Linked DNA regions of Danio rerio. The protein of the gene in region 5 binds, or shares a complex with, the protein of the main gene of each other region. Links are inferred from orthologs where the notes say so. Each region holds a gene or a part of one and is shown on either strand. Other genes may lie near its edges. The genes, in order: thoc7, thoc2, thoc3, ddx39b, thoc5 and chtopa.

What was found.
Region 1: the proteins of thoc5 (region 5) and thoc7 are in contact, whole or in part, in a cryo-EM structure (PDB 7APK), measured with the Homo sapiens proteins. The link is inferred for Danio rerio from reciprocal best matches to the Homo sapiens genes THOC5 and THOC7. Residues at the interface, in NP_001002877.1 of Homo sapiens: Pro48, Asp51, Tyr52, Tyr55, Cys59, Leu62, Gln63, Met66, Ala67, Gln70, Phe95, Lys99, Leu101, Asn102, Ala105, His106, Arg108, Leu109, Gly112, Arg113, Gln115, Thr116, Ala119, Lys120, Val123, Tyr126, His127, Leu130, Leu133, Glu136; in NP_079351.2 of Homo sapiens: Ala21, Asp23, Ile27, Leu30, Val31, Phe34, Tyr50, Met53, Leu54, Leu57, Cys60, Glu61, Met64, Gly65, Thr67, Leu68, Val70, Tyr71, Asn74, Met78, Tyr81, Ile84, Tyr85, Ile88, Glu89, Ser91, Ile92, Ala95, His96, Lys98.
Region 2: thoc5 (region 5) and thoc2 share a complex: the UniProt entries of both Homo sapiens proteins name them as parts of the transcription/export (TREX) complex. The link is inferred for Danio rerio from reciprocal best matches to the Homo sapiens genes THOC5 and THOC2.
Region 3: thoc5 (region 5) and thoc3 share a complex: the UniProt entries of both Homo sapiens proteins name them as parts of the transcription/export (TREX) complex. The link is inferred for Danio rerio from reciprocal best matches to the Homo sapiens genes THOC5 and THOC3.
Region 4: thoc5 (region 5) and ddx39b share a complex: the UniProt entries of both Homo sapiens proteins name them as parts of the transcription/export (TREX) complex. The link is inferred for Danio rerio from reciprocal best matches to the Homo sapiens genes THOC5 and DDX39B.
Region 6: thoc5 (region 5) and chtopa share a complex: the UniProt entries of both Homo sapiens proteins name them as parts of the transcription/export (TREX) complex. The link is inferred for Danio rerio from reciprocal best matches to the Homo sapiens genes THOC5 and CHTOP.

Annotation. Positions count from the first base shown.
Region 1 is NC_133186.1:21,694,068-21,698,295, reverse strand, and holds the start of thoc7 (THO complex subunit 7 homolog), read right to left. Parts: upstream 2,801-4,228; 5' UTR 2,770-2,800; coding exon 2,751-2,769; intron 2,134-2,750; coding exon 2,013-2,133; intron 1,880-2,012; coding exon 1,752-1,879; intron 1-1,751. UniProt on the Homo sapiens protein: Component of the THO subcomplex of the TREX complex which is thought to couple mRNA transcription, processing and nuclear export, and which specifically associates with spliced mRNA and not with unspliced pre-mRNA.
Region 2 is NC_133189.1:13,039,634-13,043,133, forward strand, and holds part of thoc2 (THO complex subunit 2), read left to right. Parts: intron 1-2,908; coding exon 2,909-3,037; intron 3,038-3,378; coding exon 3,379-3,445; intron 3,446-3,500. UniProt on the Homo sapiens protein: Component of the THO subcomplex of the TREX complex which is thought to couple mRNA transcription, processing and nuclear export, and which specifically associates with spliced mRNA and not with unspliced pre-mRNA.
Region 3 is NC_133189.1:29,777,475-29,781,656, reverse strand, and holds the start of thoc3 (THO complex subunit 3), read right to left. Parts: upstream 2,801-4,182; 5' UTR 2,789-2,800; coding exon 2,609-2,788; intron 547-2,608; coding exon 390-546; intron 74-389; coding exon 1-73. UniProt on the Homo sapiens protein: Component of the THO subcomplex of the TREX complex which is thought to couple mRNA transcription, processing and nuclear export, and which specifically associates with spliced mRNA and not with unspliced pre-mRNA.
Region 4 is NC_133194.1:29,755,195-29,759,404, reverse strand, and holds the start of ddx39b (DEAD (Asp-Glu-Ala-Asp) box polypeptide 39B), read right to left. Parts: upstream 2,801-4,210; 5' UTR 2,718-2,800; intron 172-2,717; 5' UTR 171-171; coding exon 1-170. Other genes in the region: polr1h (DNA-directed RNA polymerase I subunit RPA12), read left to right, coding at 3,322-3,439. UniProt on the Homo sapiens protein: Involved in nuclear export of spliced and unspliced mRNA. Component of the TREX complex which is thought to couple mRNA transcription, processing and nuclear export, and specifically associates with spliced mRNA and not with unspliced pre-mRNA.
Region 5 is NC_133200.1:4,392,251-4,395,750, reverse strand, and holds part of thoc5 (THO complex subunit 5 homolog), read right to left. Parts: intron 2,565-3,500; coding exon 2,487-2,564; intron 2,374-2,486; coding exon 2,330-2,373; intron 2,245-2,329; coding exon 2,145-2,244; intron 1-2,144. UniProt on the Homo sapiens protein: Component of the THO subcomplex of the TREX complex which is thought to couple mRNA transcription, processing and nuclear export, and which specifically associates with spliced mRNA and not with unspliced pre-mRNA.
Region 6 is NC_133194.1:26,306,949-26,310,942, forward strand, and holds the end of chtopa (chromatin target of PRMT1a), read right to left. Parts: intron 2,619-3,994; coding exon 2,484-2,618; intron 1,337-2,483; coding exon 1,137-1,336; 3' UTR 501-1,136; downstream 1-500. UniProt on the Homo sapiens protein: Plays an important role in the ligand-dependent activation of estrogen receptor target genes. May play a role in the silencing of fetal globin genes.

The DNA.
Region 1 (4,228 bases), on a different chromosome or scaffold from region 5:
ACAAAAAAATAATAACTATAAAAATACAGAACACTCAGCAAAATAATGCCAAATTCAAACTGCATGATTTTAGCCCTGATTTTTGACTCGACAACAGGTTTCAAGAAATTGCAAAAAATGCCTGAAATCACAGGCAAATAGGTACTCATTCACGCAAGTATCAACCACACAGTATGAACTATCAAAGACACAATCGGAGAGAATCGGTGATGTGTCGTAGACACATGTGAGATATTCAGTGTGCTAAACAGCTGGATCTGTCGACGATTCAAATCATGCCGTGTGAAATCTGCAGGCCAGCGGGAGGTTGGGGAACAAGTTAAAAGTGCTTCTATTTTGTCTATTTGGACCCCAAAAAATGGAGGAACAACTAGTGTAAATTTGGCAGGAGCACCCGTTTCTGTTTGAAGTGTCATCTGAGCAACCGGGTCGAAAAAGAAAAAGTTGAGGAGAAATTGCTAATTCCTATTAAAGGCCAAGTGAGCAAAATAAGTAAATTTTCTACCCCACTAAAGGCTTTATTCTCATTATATAGTTCATGACAAAAGATATACTACATTATTTCCATGTCACTTCTTCTGTGCTTGGTTTTGAGATGTAGTTTGTAGACCGGGACAAAGTTGTCGCCAATTCTTCCTATTCTAAATCATACAGTGTGAACCCCCCGTTGCCAATCCATCTTGCAGGGTAAACAAAGCAGCGATGAAATACTACCCCCGACAGTCATACAGGGTGAAAACATCTGTGACATGACTACTTTGAAAATCATGCAGTCTGAACTCGCCATAAAAATCACTGATAAAAGGCAGATTGAAAAGTTCTGATTGAAAATCAGAATACAAAACAAAATACTGCACTTTTGAATCCAACTTGATTCGTGAACAAGCTGAATTTTATCAGTTAGCCAGTTAAATCAATTCACAAATTGCACTGAACAATTAATTTGCGAATTGGATAGACATGTTTACGAGTCAACAAATAACTGATTTGAATGATGTTTTCAGTCTGAGTATCTCCCTTGAATGATTCACTGATTCAAATTATTTGATCAAAGAGAGTCTACGATAAACAATTCACAGATTTAACACACTGATCTGAATTTGGTGTAGTTTTGTAGCCACCAGAGCAGAAATGAAGGCTGCAGCACTCTGTATCATTTTCTATTATGCAAGGTTATTTTGCGATATTAGAAATAATTGAAAAAGCTTACACAAACACCCACCCTTTTATCCTGTAGGCATGGGATGATAACCGTTTTCAAGGTATACTGCGCATTGGAAAAGTAAAGTCCTAAATTTCTGCTTTACTCTTGCTACGGTATAAATAGAGTTCAGAACAACAGTATCTCCAGCAGAAAAGATATCCAAAGAGGTTGTTTTAAATTGGAAAGAAATCAATGATTCATTTTGAATTATTTAGCCTGGCATATTCACTGCTCCAAAATACTTTAAATCTTTATCAAAGTAAAATATAGTGTTCAAAGTTTTTGTTTTTACCCAGACATTTAAAAAGAATATAATTCAGAGCAGTAATCACAATACCATGTGTCCGTGATATTTTTATCCAAGGTTATAATATTGTCAGAAACATATACCGGCCCATGCCTAATATCCTGCCCTCAAAGTAATATTTAATATAGTCAAAAGATGTAGATTAAAACAATGAGTGCAAACAGGAATGTGTCTCCCTTGTCAGCATATAATCCAATCAACCCAAAAGAAAAAAGCAGGGAAGTCAACAAGAAGTCTTACCAATATCGGTATAGATTCCTTCATAATTCTCCATTTCTTTCAGGTTCATGTTGTACACAAGCAAGGTTTTCCCCATGGAGAATTCACACTGAGCCAAGGACATCATCATTCTTTGATACTGAGACATCCTGCAGACACATATGAATGATAAAGTAATTACACCCAAGGTCGTGGTAACTAATCAGTGGAATATTTTAAAGGAAAAGAAAAAAAAAATCTTATCAAGTCAGGTATATAAAGTTAAACCAGAATGTAAATTACCCCTCCTCTGGTGAGAAACTGGAGTGGCACCATTTGGTGAAGCTCTTCATGAGCACATTAATGCGTCTGTCATCTCCAGCTCCATCTCCATCGATCAGAAGACGCTTCCGAATAACCTCATCTGTGAGGGAGGAGACATAGATATTATTTAGTCTAAATATAGGTCTAAATAGCATAGCACAGATATTATACTGTAAATTGTATTCAGTGACTAAATGTGGAACAATATATATATATATATATATATATATATATATATATATATATATATATATATATATATATATATATATATATATATTCTGCTTGATTATTTTTGAAACAAAGTAAATCTCTAAATTCAGCAAAAAATCAGTTTATTTTCCAACCTTGATGCTTGATTTAACTGATTGATCCAACATTGAAAAGTGTCAGAAGGGTGCCATCAAATTTTCATATTATCGTATTTACATATTATACTTACCAATATATTTTATATCACTGTAATGCCTATCCAAAACCAAAGTCAGCGTAATAAATTATACTTATACATCTTGTAACTTGTTTTAGTTAATCAGTTTTAGCATGTGGCTAACTAACTGTTAGCTAAGACTCCTCATGTAGACATTTCAAAGGAGTTCGTTTAGTTTCCAGGAAATAAAAACATGGACGTACGCTACTGTAATAATTCCTTCAGATTTGCTACATAAATTACAATTACATGATAGTTAAGAAAAATAAAACAAAGGAAAATCTTACCATCAGTAATGCTACCCATTCTCCAGCAGGCTAACTGGACTGTTAGAAAAAACTTTATTGTCAGGCGCGCGCGGACACGCAAGGCATCAGCGCCCCGCCTCTGTTGCGAAGCAAACCCGCCGAGCTCACAACAGTTTTCTGAACGGCTAGCTTTTACTTTATTATTACAAAGTCATTTAAATGTTTTGCTGAAAACTCGTTTTAGACTAGTCGACTGATAGCGTGTCTTTCAGAAATACTGTATTAGTAGGTAGTTAGTTTAGTTTTTGACAGTATTGAGAAATGAGATTCATTTTCGCGAATCGGTTCATTTGAACAGTTCGTTTTAAAGTGTGGTTCCACAAGACTCGTCAATTTGTTTGAGCAATATCGTCAGTTCAGTTATGAATCATGATTTAGCTTTTTAAAAATACATTAGGAATCTGAAAAAGTTTTAAGTTAAAAACTATTGTCTAGTGTCATTTATTAGGCAAATAACAATCTAGCCAGCACATTCAATTTCTTCAGTCAGAATTTGGCCATTTCAATAATAAAAAATAATAATAATAAAAGCTTTACAATTTTCTAGCCTTACATGTTAAAAAGTGCATTTGAAAATTAAGGATAACAATAGCCTAATTAGTATTCAAATCAATTTTACTATAGGCCACCCTTTTTATTGCTCATTTTTAGTTTCAAGATAAGTTCCAAGATTTAGAACAAAAGTTACTTGTAAAACGTTTTCTCTGTTTACAAACAGTAGCGAAAGATGACGTCACTTATGTCAGATTGTGTGATTTCCTACACAGCTAGATGTTGATCATCAAAAACATTTGTTAGCATTGACCAAGACTGATTTGCTGAAGTCACACCGAAGCAACAGCCAACAGAGGATTATGCCTTTTTAATTGGTTATTTTTACTATTTATGATGGCATGTAGCAGTCAAAATACGACATATGAGCTCATGAATGGGAAAAATTCTGCACATTTGTCAGTAAGGGTTTTTTTTTCTGAACCCCCTCTGGCTACATAGGCTACATATAACATAGTATATTATGAAATAATAAGACGTTTTAAAATCCATCTTTCTTTTGCTTCGTCAGTTCAGTTTGTGCCATTATGATTCAGTTTATGAATACAAAGCTTTTTACGTAGATATGAAAATAATTCAACATGAATTAAAATGTGAATTTAAATATTTTAAATTTGCTTGACTGAGAATGAGGTAAAGTTGATTTTAGGACATCTTGGACATTCTCCATAATAATTTTATTATTATATAATAATTATATTTCAGAAAGGAATTATTTGCAAAAAAATTCTATGTAATCATACAAGGTATACCTGTAGGTCAGGGTTTCCCAAACTTTTTAACTCGCGAGCCCCAAAATAACAATGCCAGTGACAGGCAACCCCCAATATCCTCTGAGGTGGTTATAAATATATAAACCTTCTACACATTGGTGCACACATAGCAATAGACCCAAGTCTATTCAT
Region 2 (3,500 bases), on a different chromosome or scaffold from region 5:
TTTAAATGACAGAGTATTAAGTGATTTTAATAAACTTGAAAAATGCTACTACTTAATTATATACACACAAATACAGAAGAAAGTCATTGTTAATAGTAAGAAATGTTTCTTGAGCAGCAAATCAGCATATTATAGTAATCGTGTGCTACTGGTAGCACACGATAACTACAATATGCTGATTTTTGAGTAAGGGCTGCGATGCATTGTGAACACCTTTGCAGTGAGGCATTAATTTGAGGTGGTAACAATATGACTTATCCGATATCAGTTAGAACAGAACAGAAAAGGTCTCCAGTTACTGTACATTACAGTTTGGTAGTGAGAACCCAACAAAAAATGTATCGGTTGGGTTCCAGTCAGGTGAATTTGGAGGTCAAGGCATTAATAGATATAGTGTTGTAAAGTATGGCTTTTCAACCTGAGAGAATTCAGAGTGTACACTGGCAAAATAAGTGACAGTGGAGGATGATTTACAGTTCGGGTTTACATGTAGATGCAAGTGAAATTACACAATTTTGGTGTGGCATATGGCCTAAAAGGTTTGGAATCCTTAATGTAAAGTATTAGAGTACATGTAATAGGTTATTTTACTTAAGTATATTTTGGGTTACTTTGTACTGAGTATTAAAGTTAATGTGTACATCACAACATTTTTAAATATTTTGTATTGAACATTTTGTATTTTTTTACTCCACTACATTTGTAAATATTTTGAATGGCATCTAACTTTTAGTTAGAGTTTGTCTGAATCAGGTGTGTTTGACAGACATACAAAATGTGCAAAATATTACAGTTCGTCTGAAACCACATACTTGCCTACATTATTGAATCTTTTATATATATATATGAGCAATATCACACGAGTAGCAGATAAGGCTGTACATAGGCACTGGTGGGAGGCATGTGTCTTACTCTCCCACCAGTGACGATGTACAGCCACATCGCACTACTATGAGTTACAACAGCTCGACAGCATAATCGTGTATATAAAACAGCAAATCAAGTCTAAATATCCTTTTGTAAGGGGAACTACTTTCTTCCGCCATTCCTTCACATCAGCAGCTGACATCAGAACAGCCGTTTACTAATTCACCAACGTCACTTTAGAGCTAGTTTTTGAATGATTCTCTAGCGTAATGTCTAAGGGGATGACAAAACATGATTTAGCTCACATTTTAAGATTATAAGGATGAAAAGCATAAAAGGCCATCGGTCTAGTTTTAGAGACATTTGCCAGTTTTTTTAGGTTGCAAAAGGGAGATCACAATAATTAACCTTGCAAAAGCCAAAGCAACGCAATCACTACCAGATTATTGTTGTGTTTGCGATAAGGAGAAAAGCTAACAAATGCAGCAATTTCTTTCTTGTAACTAGTCTGCAGTAACAAAAACAGGAGACTCATTAAAAACAAACAGATTGCCAACCAAAAAGTAACTTGGGGTTATACGAAGAGTGGCCAACACAAAATTGCATACATTTCTGATATGTGAGTCCCATCACACTCAATCTACTGCAATTACTATGGTATAAATAGAGCACCGCAACATAAAAAAAGAGAGAGATTGACTTAGAATGTCACTCACTAATTTTAGAAAGTTTTGATCAGCTGTAGTTTGAAAATATGCTGATCTTTCCTCCTCTAAGGAGTTATGTGGTCTCTGTTGCCATCTTATGGATGGACAATGTCAACCATTTTTGCTCACTCAATGACAGACTGATGGATGCCGACATGACATGGCTTTTAGCCAATGAGATTCAAGAATCAGAACTGTTGAATAAATATATGTATATGTATGTATGTCTGTGAGCATGAGCGGAGTAGTATGTTCATACTTAATATTATTGAAAGAAAAAAAAAAAAGTAGCCAAAATGTACCTTTGAATCCCAAGTCCAACTCTCTAACCATTAAGCCACAACTGCCGCTGATAAATATTGGATGTTATTCTGTTATACTGCAATAAAGATATTTCCAGAAAGCTGGAAACCTGTAACCTTTGGCTTTCATTTTTTTTCTGTTTCTAGGGAGATCACTGGTTACAGGTTTTCAGCTTTCTTCACAATAGCTTTAATGTTCATCAGAATAATAAAACTAATTAAGGTTTAGAACCACTTGAGGGTAAATAGTAAGTTTCTTTTCTTTTTTTTTGGTGAATTATGCCTACGGTTCTAAAAGTGTGTGATTGTCCTGTGGCCATGATAGCACTTGGTCTGTGATGTTCACATAGTTGTGGTGTTGTAATTAGGCATGGGATGATGGTTTGGAAAGGTCAAGGTTTTAAAACCTTTATTATGTTCTGTTGTACAGTTCCTACAGAATATGTTGTTATTGTTTTTCTAGTTTGCAGATTTTCTGAAGATATACGTTTTATTCTTGGGGAGCACTGAAATGTTACATTAAGATACTGCTCAGTTAATCATGTTAGAAGAGATCAGGTGTTTTTTTTTGTGCCCATAACCCTAAAGGCCATTTGGATGAAGCTAATTTATCAAGCTGCAGCATTTTATACATGTTTATTAAATACCACTTTTTATTGAAAGTCACTGATTACTAAAGAATAATAACTTGATGCATTCATAGATGGTAGTAGCAGCGTTGTTGTGTAAAACCAAATGGTTGACAGATTGTTTTTTGATTTTATGCTAGCTAGCACAATTCTTGAACACTTTTCACATGCAGTTTTTTGGCGCATTGTAGCTCTGATGTGAGTCATATGAAATAATTGCATATGTAAGTTCAGCAGGGGCCTTGAGCTTTTAATAGAGTGCTTGGACTTCCTGTCGGTGTGTCAGATTGTCAGGTGCAACTCTAATGGGGCATGCTAATGAAAGGCAGCAGGCCACTGTGAGGGCTAGTGTGCTCCATCTGTAAGACATTAACCTTCTATCATCTTTGCATCTGTCCTTTAGCACCATCCTAACCACACCACAGTCCTGTCCAAGATCAAAGAGAAGGATGATGAGAAGAAAGAGTCTGATAAATCCAGGGACCGCTCCAAAGAGAGGGAAAAGAAAGAAGACCGGAAGGACCGAAAACGAGTAAGTCCTCTGTATTGGAGGAAGCAGTTTTTAAGCATCACAAATGTTATTGAGCAGGACATTTTACAAGGCTTAAACCAACAAATTCTCAATAAAGCCTTTTGCTGAATCATGCTTTGTGATTGAAGCAAAACATTGCAAATCCCACTTGTGAAAGCTTAATTCACACTTAAATACATTATTTAAATTACTTGACCTTCATGCTCATGCACCAGCATATTTCTTTCATTGGTCCAGATGCCATATCATTCCCTCATGTTTTAAGAGTTTTACAGCAGTTATTAGTATGCCTAAAAAGCACTATTTTAAGTTGTGCTGTCTTTCTCCCTTCACGCTTATAGGACTACTTGAACAGCGATCGCGAGATGAGCCAGGAAGCCAAACGCCGCAAAGATGAAAATGGAATGAGTAAGCCTATCTTTTAAATTTGTTTTGCCTGCTGCCAAGAGCACGAGAGCTAGCG
Region 3 (4,182 bases), on a different chromosome or scaffold from region 5:
GTTACAACATCATCCTTGTTACCTACAGCGATGGTCTGACCATCAGGACTCCAGCAAATGTTGATATTCTCCCCTAAACATAGTCAGACAATCAATAAACCAATAAATAATATAATCTCACAAGAATAAAACATATAACATTGAAAGCCATAGCTCAATCCTCAAGAGTTTCTAAAGTTGAGTTTATTTTGTCTGTTAAAAACAACAGAAGATGTTTAGAAAAATGTTGGAAATTGCCATCCATAAAATGAAAAACAAATACTACGGTAGTCAATAAGTAACGATTTCCAATGTTCTTTAAAATGTTATATTTTGTGTTCAATGGTGGGTAAATGATGAGAGAGTATTCATTTTTGTGTAAACTATCACTTTAAGCTTTAGAGCTTCACCTTTTGTGCTGACTGTGGCCATGCATTTGGTGGTCCGCACATCCCAGATGCGGATGGTCTTGTCTCCTGATGCAGTAACGAACAGATCAGGGTTGGTGGGATGCCAGCACAGCTGATCCACACTGTCTCCATGCCCACGGTAGTTGTTTTCCTTCACCTAATACATATGATAATACATGAGCTAGATCACATCTAGTCAAGACAAATAAATTGTAAAATAATAAACCGCATTGTAGCCAATGCTGTGAATATTAACCGTTTTTTCTGATATAGAATAAGTATAGTAATGTTTTTGGCAAATGGATGACCTATAAAAGCTTGTTATTGCAGCTAAAACATAATTAATATGCATAATGTCAATGAAATGATAAGTAATTTTGCAGACATTAAATTAATTAGTAACTTGATTAGGTATTTGCCATTGACTTCTGTACAGGTCTGTCATTGAGATGTCACAATTGTCACAAGATGTCAGTTTTCACAATGTATTCCGATTGTGACAATGTTTATAAACTGGTAGTAATTCATTAGCTACCGATTATCATTAGAAACTAGTTCTTATTCATTAAGTACATACTGAAAAGATACTAGTACATACAACGCCATCTACTCATGTTTATTATATCTTTATTTAACTAGCACATGTTTAATTGAACACTTATACAGTCATCCAAAATAGTCAAAATGTGACAAGTAAAAATAAAAAATAAAAATCAGTAGTGACTCGTAATACTAGTAGCAACTCATAACAACTACATAAAAATACTTGTGCCAAATAAATGAGTACTAGGATACAATAAATAACTACTAGCATCTGTTAAAGAGGTACTTGTAATAAGAATGAGTTTCTAATAAATGATGGAGTATCTAATAAGTAAATACTGCTTTCTAAATAAAAACAAAGCATTTATTAGATATGACAGTACAACTTTACAATAAGGTTTCATTAGATAATGAGGTTACTATAATGAAAAACAACAAACAGTATTTATACATCTTTGTTAATGTTTTTTACTGAAAATAAGCCTCATTGTTGGTTCTTGCCAACTCACAGTGCATTTACTAATGTTAACAAGTGCTGTTTTGCATCAGGAGATGAGCGCTGTTTTGCATCAGGAGATGAGAGCTGTTTTAGATTTTTGTAGGCATGGGATTGTAGGTATAAGATTCTGACAGTAAGATAACCTTGGACAAAAATATCCCGGTTTGACGGTATTGTGATTACTGTTCTAAAATATATTATTTTTAAATGTCAGGGTAAAAGACTAAAAACTTTTTCCCCCTTTGAACACAATATATTTTATTTTGAGAAAGACTTTAAATATTTTAAAACAGTAAACATGTAAAACAAGTTTGCATATCTTTTCTGCTGGACACACTGTTGTCCTAAAACAACAACAACAAAAACCATAAATTAAAAAAAATCGTACATATACCATAGGAATGGTATAGAAGAAAATGTTGGAGGTTTTAAAACCTTGACTTTTCCTAACCGTGGTATACCTTGAAAACGGTTATTGTCCAATGCCTGAATGGAAGTGCTGTACAAGTTTTGTTTATTATTAGGTTATGCTGGTAAATTAGTTAACATTATCAATGGAACCTTATTGTAGAGCGTGATCACTTTGTGTGTCTAACAATTATACACTAGTACATATTGAAAAAGCCCTTATTTCCAATAAAATCCACCCAAATATCAGTACTTGCAGAATAACTAGTCATAGTAAAAATATGTACTAGACAATTATTAAAAACCTCACATTCCAATAACAGACTGCGATAGAAGTAGTTACTTGACACTTTTGAAATAAATACTAGTATGAAATAAATGAGAACAAGTGTGTGATGATGAGTAAATAGTATTTAAACAAAAATATACTATTCATACGTGTCTAATTAATGAGTAGTACCTATTTAATAGCTACGAGTGTCTAATTTATTGTCTAAAATGAATCTAAAATTCATCTAATGAAAACTAACTTGTAGTAGTAGCTAAATAATAACTGTTGGCTAAATATCAACAAGTGTACTGAATACGTATCAGTACTTAATGAAAAAGACACACATATCTAAAAATAGGTATTAACGTTAGTAGCATAAAACTGATACTAGTTTAGTTTACAGATTAAATGTTAAACAGCTTGTTCTACGCAGAACGTGGTTTATAAATTAAATATATGTTTTGGACAACGAAGGATGATGGAGAAGACAAAGCTCACCAGTCGGTCTTTTTCCAGGACAAATACGCTGGCAGTTTTGTCAAACGAACCGGACGCCAGTCGTTTTCCATCACAGCTCCAGGCCACCGAGTGCACTTTAGCACTGTGAGCCGGGAACTCTCTGCTTTTATTGTTATTCCTGAACACCTCCTGCATCTCCTGATAGTACGAGGACGCCATGCTTGAAGTTCTGCTTCGTCGCGTATTTAAGCTTAATCTGTGGCATTGCGTTACTTACCGACACCTAGTGTACGGGAGTGCAATTACATAATATTGTTTAAAAAAGTCTGATACAAATAACTTTCTTTTCTTTTTTTAGTTTTATTATTGTCAGGGTAACAATAACATCATCATACATTTGTTACAAAGAGAGCACATGAGTTTTACAGAGAAGTAAAACATCAAATAAGCACATACAAGGGAAAAAATTTACTAAAAAACAAACAACACATATTATAAAATCATGTGTTTTAAGGAAGCAATAGTTTTAATGTACTGTTGAAGTTCCTTTTCAAAAATATTAAAACAAAATATAGCCTAGAGTGAGAGAATTTACAGCTGTGTATATGGAATTTAGCAAGGATTAAAAGGAGATTAATTATGAAACACTCCTTACTTTTATTATCGGGAATATTGAAAAAACCCAACAGGATATCCTTAAAAGATAACACGAATTAGTATTTTGCAATGAATAACCAAAAAAAAGTTCAATCCAAAAGCATTGTGCATGAGGGCAAATAAAAAACAAATATATGATCAGCAGTTTCACTAGGGATACAAATCTTAAATTTAAAATGATGATATAAAATGAAAAAAAAATCACAAAAGTAAACATTATGAGATAAACAGTTAACAGTGAAGAAATTTTATTATTTTTTTTTGTAAAAATTGCTATTAGGTTAAAAAAATGACAAAATATGAAAATGTGCTAATTTGTTATGAATGTGATAAATAAGTTGAAATGATGGGGTAAACATTGTGAGATGAAAATCCTAAATCAAATAATGGTCAATTAAGAGAAGGTCAAAATTATATTATATCTCATAAAAATGAAACAAAAGGTTTGTATTATGCCAAAAGTTCATATAAGTGTGAAGTACAATCATAGGTCTACCAAATCTAAGTAAACTAGGCTAGGCTATAGGCAAAAAGCTTTGAAAACATTGAGATAAATAAAAATGTCAAAACTGTCAAATGTCAAAATCATGGAATATGAGCTATATATAATTTAAGCCAAAAGCCTCATTTATAAATCAGATCATTTAAACTTCAGTCAGTGGCCTACTGTGTTTTATGTTGTTTGTTAAATTGTCTTCTCGTGTAATGGAAGAACTCAAAGTCAGGTCACTGTGGTAGGCTACTTTGGATGGTTGTAGGAACTTTAGAAAGTCAGGAGTAGCTACATATAAAAATAAAGTTTATTTTCTGTGTACTTTGTGTAAGTAGTTTTGTCATCAGTGTTTTTGGTAAAGAGGACATCAGTTCGCGGGCAGAGTCCATGGTCAATCCACGTACAGCGCTGACTCCCACTGACCACACGGCGGAGCTCCATCCTCCTAATAATATCCAGTGCA
Region 4 (4,210 bases), on a different chromosome or scaffold from region 5:
AAATCTCTGAACCCTGAGGAGTGGATGGACACATATGACCCTTTGACGCCTTCTTTCCTGATGGATATGATGCCATCGCTGTGTCCAAGGCCTGCGTCCCCTGCACCACCAGCATCTACCTCATCCTCCTCATAGTCCAACAGCTCGTTATCAACATCGTTCTCTGTCATTCTATGGAGAGAATACATACAATAAATTTAAAACTAATCCAAGTGACAGCACTTCTTTCAGTCAAACATTATTTTATCTTATCTCCTACAATATTAGGTGTGTGTGTGTGTGTGTATATATATATATATATATATATATATATATATATATATATATATATATATATACATATATATATATATATACATATATATATATATGTATACACACGCACACGCACACACACATAAATATATATATATATATATATATATATATATATATATATATATATATATATATATATATATATACACATGGTGTAATGCTGAAAGTTTTTTTTTTTTTTTTGCGTATCAACATAAGAATTGTATTTTTTTCATTCATTAATCTAGGGCTGGGCGATTAATCGTATAGTAATTGAAATCGACATTCCGAACCTATTATGGATCTAATTTTTTCCAGGACACTTTTTTCAATTAACTGCATGTGGAGTCACGTGACTACTCTTTGTTAAAGCTGATTTATACTTCTGCTTTAAACATACTTTTAAATCGATAAGGTCTGACACAGCCTCTGAATGGTTGCATACCCACAAGCCTTTTGAAAAATGTAACTACACATCGCAAGTTTGCATTACATTGACGATGATTGGAAGCTCCGCCAGAGATGTCTTGACATTTCTATTACAAGAAAATATTATTTACATTAAAATATTTGTTTACAAAAGATTCAAGAAATGCACTACTTAAAAAATTATTTACAGGATATACAAGTTTTTTTTATCTAGAAGAGATACTGCTTATTTTCTACTTTTAATATGATAAAGCACTGAAAATAAATTGTTTTGTTTTCAAAAATGCAAGTTATTTAGTTTCACTTTTTTATAAGTAAAAATACTGTTGTATTACTGTTGTAAGTGTATTTCCTTCAATTATTTAAAAAAAGTAATGCACCCTTCATTCAAAAATCTCTCACTTGTAATATGGAACATATTATCTGTGTAAAACTTGTCAGTGAATTGTGAGGGTAAAAAATAAATAAAATAATTGTTCATTACTCGTAATAGACTTAAAATGTTTTATTAATCGAGATTTAGATTTTAGGCCAAATCACCCAGCTCTAGCAATGAGGCAAACATGCTATCTCGATAATTATTTTCCATATTGAACGATAACGATATATATTTTGATATCAGTTGTCAATATGCCAGATTTAAAAGAGTATTCCAAAAATGACTAAAGCCAGAAAAAATAAGAGGGTCCATTGAATGGCGTGAAGTAATTTCGACTGATACATTTTCGGTGGCCGAAGATTCGGTACATTTCTAATATCAACTACGTATGAGCTGGTATAAGATTCTGACGGTATGATAACCTTGGATAAAAATATCCCACTTTCACAACATTGTGATTACTGCTCTAAAATATATTATTTTTAAATATCTGAGTTTATTTCCCATCTGAAAACAATACATTTTATTTTGTAAAACAAAGTATTTTGGAGCAGTAAACATGTCTGGCTAAATAATTCAAATGAATCATTGACTTCTGATGTCTTTATTAGTTTCAAAACACAGATTTCTTTACAATTTATAGCGGCATCTTTGGATATCTTTTCTGCTGGAGATACTGTTGTCCTAAAAAAAAAAAATGTAAATAAAAAATCTCACACATACCTTCGGAACAGTAAAGCAGAACAATTTGGTCGAAATTAATTAAAACCAGTCAAACTATGGTATACCTTGAAAACTGCTATTGTCCCATGCTTAATATCAACGCACGTTTATATTCCCATTGTTTGCACATTTCTGCTGTGTAATATAGATTTAGAGTATATAGATACACAATACAGAGTAAAAAGGTCCAGAGCTTATCATTGTTGTGACATAAATTGTATCGCAATTCGATACAATATCGTTTATCGGCCCAGCTCTACATTAGTCCTATTTAATTGTTATTTTTTTCTGAGAAAAAAAATATGAAATATCATTAAATTTGTTTTACCATGATAAAAAGACACACACTACAATATCATTCAGTGAAACCACAGTCAGAACAAATTTCTCCTTTTGCCAGAAGTTTTTTTTTTTTAAACAAATAAATAAACAAACAAAATTAATTGATTACGGAACACAATATTTTGACATACACGTGATTTAGAAAAGCGTGTTTGCTTAAATTGTATTCGATTATATTTGTTTGTGTAATATATACACAAAAGCTAGAGACTTGTAGCTTTTCAACAACTATTAATCAAGACAATATATTAAAGAATAAAACCCCATTCTCCAGCACTACAATAGCAAAAAAAAACTTAATTCATAGATAATGTTTTATGCTAGCCCACACACCCGTAATTAATCAGTTATGTCGCTTTAAACTAACAAACGATTTAAGACGTAACACATTAGCACTTAGTTAGCTAATCCATTAGCCCAAAATAGGCAGCGTGTGGTCAAAACACTACGACATTACATTGCTGAATGTTTTATGACGGAATATAAAGTGTATTATCACTTCTCATGTCGATTGTGGTTTTTAATAGTATTAAATAATCGCAAATACCTCGAAACACTGTTTGAAGCAGTTGGATTTGACTGCACCTGCCAGATAGATTGTCTACAACGTCATCAACTCGCGACGAATCTACTGTTTTGACGAAGGACCCCAACATGTGGAACTGCCTTGAGTAAAAACCTCTCAGTTTGTAGAGAAGTTTGTATTTGGTTTGTATTTGTTACTATAACTAGCGTACATATCGCAAGATTTTTGCATCTGGTAATATTTAAGACCGCCGTGTTGGCGCTTTTATAAGTAAGTTTCTAGTTTTGATTAACGTTATATAAAAAATGTATGTACGTATGTGTGCGTGTGTAGTTTTTATAGATTATTAATTTATTACAGGAAACTTTACAATACAATATATAATACTGCAATACTATAGTAGTCTCCAATTTATTTTTTAATAAAAAAAACGATTTAAATCACTAGTTTTGGTCAAAAACCAATAAACTATGGGTAGTGTAGCAAAACATGGTGAGTTTGTAGTTCTTACGTGATTTACTAAAATTACCATGTTTTTATATTATTTGTGTTATTGTACTATGGTTAATTTTTGTTATTGGTGACTAAAGTCTAGTTACTAACATTTTTTTCTCTCCTTTAAGAAATGTCGTGTTTTAGAGGAGATGTCGACTTTTGTCCTGAATGTGGAAACATTCTTCCACTACCCAGCAGGCTGAATACTATCACCTGCCCACGATGCTCCTTCAAAATCTCTGTTCAAGGTGAGAGTAAGATTAATATGTCATAAGTAATTTATATAATATTTTATGAGATTATATATTGGCCCTGTTTCAGAAAGGAAGTTAAGTAATAGCTCAGAGTATGTTTAACCCTGAAATGAGAGAAATTTTGGGTTTTCCGTTTTAAAATGGCAGGTTTGTCAAACTCGAGAAAGCAGGGTAAGTCAAGCCTGTTTCTGAAAGAGAGGTAACTTTGACTTGGTTGTTGCTAGATCGAATATGTTTACGGCTGGAAGGTGAAGAGAATTATTTATATTATTTATTAAATCCCCCGTTTATTGTATTTTATTAACATCTACCCTCACCCCAACCCTAAACTCAACCAACAAAGTAATGTAGAAACAGTAGTTGTACTGGGTATAATTTACGTTACCTATTAAATTATACAATAAATTGTATTTTTTAACGCCTTCCCCCAGCCCAACCCTAAACCCCACCGTCACAGTATTGTACAAATATTCATTATTGTTATACAGTGTCATAACAAAATGCTGCTATATTGATGTGCAGATCGCACTTTCGGCCAGCCGTGTATCCGATCTAGACTTTACCCTTTAACTCAGAGTCAGTTACCGTGGTAACTTACTCTATGAACCTAACCTGGTCAGGAGCCGGTTTTATTCTCTAAACTCTGAGTTTCTGTTGGTCTCCTCCCCTTTTTTAAAGACAGAGTGTATTTCTCACCTTGGCCTTGGTCATTCATTGCCTACATTTCAGTCACACAAAGAACATGGTTATGAGAATGGCTTGTAC
Region 5 (3,500 bases):
TTTTTTTTCTCCTTTGTTTTTTCGGCTTCTCCTTTGTTTTTTTGCACTTCACTCTCACGTTTGCCTGTTTCTGAAAGGATGGGATGTCAGAAGCACTTCAATAATCACACACACGTTATAATCATCAGCTCAAGAAGATTGTTATTTCAAATATAGACACGTGGCGAGCACAATCGAGAAAGAGCAAGTGGGAAAACAAAACCGATCACGAATTAGATAGCCTTGTAAACAAATATGGGCCACAGGGTAGATTCTGCTCTTCTTCTTGGCTTTGTGGCTGTTCATCAAGATGACGACAAGGTTTGTTTGAGCTAGGGTCGACCATGGCATGTTATTATATGTATATCTTATTACAGTGTAATGTCTCGGCTGTGTATTTAAAAATGGTGCTGCCTTTGTTTTCATTCTCCTGGCTTGTGGCGTATCTCTGTAAACCAATAGCGTTCAGTTACGTGTCTTACTCCGCCATTTGGTATTCTTTTGTCGTGCTAGGTACCCTTTTGTTGTGCTTTGTACCCAAAAAGTAATACGGTACGGTTCGCTTTTAGATACCTTTTGACAGTGGAAACGGCCATAAAAGCGTACCGAACAGTACCGTACCATACCACTCAGTGGAAATGGTCCAATAAAGGGACAACACACAATCTAAATCACTAAATGAAACGTAATAGTTTATATTAAATTTAAGTTTATTGTATAAACACAATGAAGAATACTGTTAAAAATAGTGTTGTGTTTTTTTGTTCCTACTATAGATCCCAATGGCTGTTTTTCCAACATTCTTACACCAGAAGAAAGCAAAAAAGTTTTTTTAGCAAAAATATATATTTGTTGTACTCATTCAATGCGCTCTGATGCTGTGTTCACACCAGACACATAACGCACGGATGAATCGCGCTATTCGCACGTAAAAAGATGTGTGAACATTTTGCTTTATTCGCGCGTCAAATTCACTTCACGCGGATTCGCGTTGTGGACAGGGCTTCTGTCTGCCCGGTGACTCTAGCTTCGTTGCTAAATGGCTAACATGAGTTTTATTGAGAAAAAACTGTTTATGCGCTTTATGAAGGCTGAAAAACAGCGTTGATGTGTTTGGAGCCGTGTGTGAGTGCACTAGATGCTTTCAGAGGTGCATCTAGCTCTGTGAGCTCATAAACTCCTCCAGAAACTGAACCTAGATGATGGAGGCTTTCAGCGCTGCTTCTGACTGAGCCGAGCCCAGCTTGATAAACCGTTGTTGGTGTGTGCAGAAAGATTTTCCCCCGGGACACCAACAACAGGCGCCACAAGAGCAAGCTCCTGATTGGTTAACGCGGCGCGAATGTCCGCTGAAGTTCAGATTTTTGAACTTGAGCGATTCGCATCGCACCATTTGCGCGTATTGCGCCATGCCATTCACGCAATTTGCGTCATTTGCGCCCCGCCAGTTGCGCGTATCGCACCGCACGAAGACTATTCACGCGTTTGCATTGACTCAAGTAAAATCACTCGCGATTAATGCTTCTTTCGCGTCTGGTGTGAACGCAGCATAATGGTGCGTTCAATCCAGAAGCAGATGAAGAGGTGATGATCAGGAGCTTACTCTTGTAGGGGCGTGATTCAGACAAAGTCTGTTGTTGGTGTCCCGAGGGGAAATCCTCCTGCTGACACCGGACAACAGCTTATCAAACTGGGCTTGGCTCATTCTGATGCACCGCTGAAAGCTTCCATCATCCAGGTTTCTGGAGGAGTTGATGAACTTACAAAACCTCTAAAAGGTTCTAGTGGACGAAGGCTGTTTTTCAGCCTTCCTAAAGCACATAAAGCACAGCTACTCTCTCAATAAATTCTATGTTAACCATTTAGCAATGAAGCTAGAGTCACCGGGCAAATAGAAGCCCTGCCTATAACGCAAATCCGCATCTATTGTGAAGTCAATTTGACGCGCAAACAAAGCGAATTTGACGTGTGAATAAAGTGAATTTGATGCGCGAATGAAGTAAACTCAAATTGACCCCACGTCTATTTAAACACAAATAGTGTGATTTATTTATGCATGCTGTGTATGGTGTGAACACAGCATAAGTTTACCCAACCATAAGAACTTCCAGTGCTGAGAAGCCCAGAAGTGTAAAGGCTCCCCTGTTGTGTGCTTTTCCTCTCACCTTTACACTTGAGGTCGATGCCGAGAGAGAGCGGGTGGCGTCTCAGCATCTCCTTCCTCTTGTCATCCAGCTGAACTCCTACAGTTGGCCGTCTGCGCTTCTGAACACACGGAGCGGAAACGACAACATTAGCACACATCAGCTAGAAGATAATAAACATGAAGGACTTAAAAACGCAGCCTGACCGTGTTCTGCTGCTCCTCTTCCGCATCTGAATCACTTTCATCATCTGAGACAGAAACGGATGCGAAATATAAGACTTAACTTGAACATCACAAAGACTTGAACAAGACTTGAACATCACAAACATTTATTAAACAGAGTGAACACACACACACACACCTTGTGAGTCTTCAGGCGGTCTGGAAAGAGCTTTAGCTTCATCCACGTCTCCGCGGATGCTGACAGTCAGATTTTTGTCTAGATCGATACAGACAGATTGAGAGAATTAAGCAACTTTTTTAAACAGGTTTCATCATGTTGCTAGCATATTTCTGTGCATTTTTAAACATTTCGCTAATACATTCTAGCATGTTGCTACATGTTTTAACACACTGCTTGTTTCAACGTCAAAAGCATTAAAGCATAATGCATATTACATAATCTAAAGCATTTTAAAGGCGACGCAGTGGCACAGTAGGCAGTGCTGTCGCCTCACAGCAAGAAGGTCGCAGGTTCGAGCCTCGGCTGGATCAGTTGACGCTTCTGTGTGAAGTTTGCATGTTCTCCCTGCATTCGCGTGGGTTTCCTCCGGTTGCTCCGGTTTCCCCCACAGTCCAAAGACATGCGGTACAGGTGAATTGGGTAGGCTAAATTGTCCATAGTGCATGTGTGTGAATGAGTGTGTATGGATGTTTCCCAGAGATGGGTTGCGGCTGGAAGGGCATCCGCTGCGTAAAAACGTGCTGGATAAGTTGGCGGTTCATTCCGCTGTGGCGACCCCGGATTAATAAAAGAACTAAGCCGAAAAGCAAACGAATGAATGAATAAAGCATTTTAAAACAAAATGTAAATTTGATAAAACATGTCTTAATATGTTGCTATCAACTTTACTGTTGCTAGCATGTTTTTATTGATTGCTAACTTTTTAACATGCTGCGTGTTTTAACATCACTAGCACGTTTTCATCACTAGCATAATTTGATAACATTTTATAAAATAATTCTAATGCATATTAAAACCATTTACATTTGATAAAACTTGATAGCAACATTTTCAATAATGGTTTTATGTTGCTAGCATATTTTTTTATACATTGATTATGAGATGCATTTTAACATGTTGCTAGTGCGTCCTAGCATGTGGCTACATGTTTTAACAAAATGTGTGTTTCAACATCACTACCATGTTTTATAT
Region 6 (3,994 bases), on a different chromosome or scaffold from region 5:
GAGAGAAATGCAGCATGCACAATTTAAACATTCAAATGATTTTTTTTATTACCAAATAAGCAGAAACAAAAGTTATACATTTTTTAATAAGCATACATAAACCACTTTTGTATCTACTTTTTAGACTAAAATTAAAACATGTTGGAGAAGAGAAAAAAAGAAGAAAAAAAGTGAATACCACATGATCATTCATGTTAATGATGTCTAGAAAGAGGGCATCACAGTGGCACAGTAGGTAGCACAATCACTTCACAGCAAGGTCCCTGTTTCAAGCTTCAGCTGAGTCAGTTGGCATTTTTGTGTGGCGTTTGCATGTTCTCCCCATGTTCACATGGGTTTCCTCCGGGTGCTCTCGTTTGCCCCAGAAGTCCAAAGACATGCGGTACAGGTGAATTGGGTAAGCTAAATTGGCCGCAGAGTATGCGTGTATATGTATGGATGGATGTTTCCCGGTGATGAAAATGAATGTCTAGAATGATAATGTCCTCCAGAGCACAAGATCTTATTAGCCAAGATTTATTCGATGCCAAAAGAAAAAAGAAAAAAAAGTTTGTGGGTTACAATATAGTTAAAACATTTTTTGACAAAAACAAGACTGTATGTAATGAATAAAAGTTCTACCTTAAAAAATACTAAATAAAAATATAATAATAAAAAGGTAAGTGACGTGTAGAACATTACAGTCATTAACATCTGTTCATTTACACAAGCCACATTTTTACCACAGAGTCATCAAATGTCATTTGGAGTTCACTGTTCACACATTTAGGCCATTTTCAGAATTTCAGCCAAAAATAGCAGAGGTACAATCTCTTATTACAGTTCAATCAACAACAAAATTCCTTCACTTAACAGCCAACATTTTTCCTAACAGGCCCTCTGTTTTAGAACTATAACTTGTGATGAGGATTTGTGATTGTATTCAGAAGCCGCGAGTGAAAACTCTCAAATCTCTGAATGTAACTGGGATAAATTCATAACTTTGTACAAACTTCAAGTCTGAACGCCTTAAAATGTAAATGTCTTAGGGAGTGTCCAACAGCAGCGGAAGCTTAAACGGTACTGGATGATTATGTCATCGATCAGTCTATTATTTGCAGATCTTTGGGAGCTGCTGTGTCTCAGCTCAACAGGGTCTACTCCATACTCTCAGGATCTGCCTGGGCCATATACGCATCCAACTCTGCATCCAGATGGCCTTTGGTTTTAGACATGTACGCATCAAGCTGGTTGTCCAACTGCTCGCGTGTGACGATGGGACGACCTGCTCCTCTGCCTCTGCCACGTCCACGACCCCTTCCAGCAAACCCTCCACGGCCTCTCATACCTCCACGGCCTAAGAGAGAACGAAATGCTTTAGTATGGTGAGATGGAAAATGCTTTTTGTATGGGTTTCACTGATTAGAGCAAAACTGAAAACACTACTAGCAGGGTTCTTACACCTTTTCCAACTTCAAATTCCAGCACTTTTCAAGCACTTTCAAGGTGCATTTGCATGCTTTTCCAGCACCTAATAGTAATAATTAATTGCACTTATACATGTTGTATGTACTTTTTCACATTTAAATACATTGTGCTACTTTAAAAACCACACGATATGACATTTCAACTTAAATTGAGTACTTTAGAGCATAGATTTATTGGGATAGTTCACCCAAAAGTGATTAAAAAATAAATAAAAAAATGTTCAGTTATTGGGTGAAGTATGTTTTTAAGTTTGGCCTCTTTCTACCTAAAGTTGATATCTTAAGAAATGAGCTTACAGTCAGATTTTGTTTGGGTGTAGTACCAAACTTTCAGGACCAGTCACTATTTTTTTTTTTTACAGTCTTTGGTTTTGCATTTCAGGTGCAAAAGATGCATTCTGGATGAATGTCTCCAAAATACGTATGAAGCTAATAGTGCCAAAACTATCCGAATTTGAATTGTTAATTTGAATTCCTAAAAACGTAAAACTTTATTTTTACATACCCAATATCTGCAGTCTTATTTTTACATACCCAATATCTGCATGAATTCAGAACCCAAAAAAAATCTGAAGTTTAAAAATGTCTATAAAAATCTGACTTCAAATATTAAGTTTTCAGATGTTCAATAATCAAGTTAAGAAATACAAATTCAAAACTTTTTTTAATAGGACATTCAGATTCAGAATGTTTTGGCTTATTATTAGCTCCATAAATACGCGCATGCGGTGAACATTTTGCAATGAAAACTGGTCGCACGACAACAATTTATGCACTAGCACACATGCTTCCAAATATATTTCGAGGTCACATAGATAAAATCGTGCGCATATGCAACCAAAACGGTCACAATTTTGAGCCCTTTAAGTTCAAATTCAAGCAGGTTCAAGCACTTTGTTCAAAACACAAGCACTTTTCTAACCTTAAAAACACTATATTAAAAATCAAGCATTTTCCAGGATTTCCAGCACCCGTAAGAACCCTGTACTTGGCAGAATTGTGCTTAATATTTCTCACCTCTTCCTCCAGGCATTCCACGTGCTGCACCTCGACCTCCTAGAGCTCCTCGTCCTGGAGCTCCTCCCCGATGACGCATCCCTCGGCGGAAACCCATGCGTCCAGGACCACCTCTACCTCTCATCTGACCTGCACCTAGGAAAAAAAAAAAAAAAGAGCAATCTTTTCACAAGAAGAAAAGAAAAAACACTTGTGGGATGCATGCAATAGTTCTCTTTAAGCAGGTCTGATCATATATATATATATATATATATATATATATATATATATATATATATATATATATATATATATATATATATATATATATATATATATAGAGAGAGAGAGAGAGAGAGAGAGAGAGAGAGAGAGAGAGAGAGAGAGAGAGAGAGAGAGAGAGAGAGAGAGAGAGAGAGAGAGAGAGAGAGAGAGAGAGAGAGAGAGAGAGAGAGAGATTTTGCTGCTCTGCCAGTTAAAGCACATTTGCGAACGTTCAATGACAATCTCAGTCAATTGTAATCATTTGTTATGATTCAATTTGAAATATCCACAACCATCATAGAGCCCCAGGGATTGGAGAAAGTGTGGGTTGATCTCACCCTGGTCCAAGAGCTATAACAGGGTATATGCAAGAATCCTAAAAGGTAATTTCAATACCTTTTTAAAACGGTTTAAAAGACCTTCTCGGAATATTTTAAGACCTCATCACTACTGCAAGTGCTAATCAGTATCAAACCTTTAACTTAAAGTTGCAGTAGGTGATCTTCTACAATGCTAACAGCTTAGCATAAATCTCTGAATCACAGTGCCTCCCCTGCCGTCTAAGAGCTACGCCTCCTGAAACACGAGCACCGCAAAAGAACCCTCTCTCATGTGTTAAAAACAACTAGTGCTTGTCCGGCGGCGTGCAAGCCAAACTGACATGCGATTTTAGAGGGAATATTTAGAGTTGCATGGTAAACAATATAGGGAGAGACTAGGCGTTTAGCTGTATTTACTTGTGTTTAGTTGTTAAACTAAATAAAATGTACATCATCGATGCTGTAAAAGGTCTCTTATGAAACTGAAAATAGTCTCATCAGTCCTTCATCGAAATATTTTAGTAGCTGAACAACATTTCTGTTAAGATTTAACCCATTTGTAACAACGTTACATCAGCTTTGCGTGAAGTTAAAACAGTTTTAAAACAGAACATTACTTGTCTAAGAGAAATCTTTCAGACATGTTGTCATCCTTTCTCCAGCATGCAAAGGTAACTCCAATACTGATTCAGGTTTTTAAAAAGTTTTGATTCAGCATGTTTTTACCGATCTCAGTCGGCGGAGATGCGTACAAACAGCTGCGCAGTTGTTCAAATCTGCATTTGCTTGCAAAGAGATTGTGCTACTTATCGGAATTGAGAGATGTCGGTCGGACTCCATTTAATAGGATGAACATTTTTTTGTTTTATGCCTTACCCAAAATATAAAAATACATATAAATACATTTAGATCATTTACTGTAATCATTACTATTAGACTGTGAAGAGA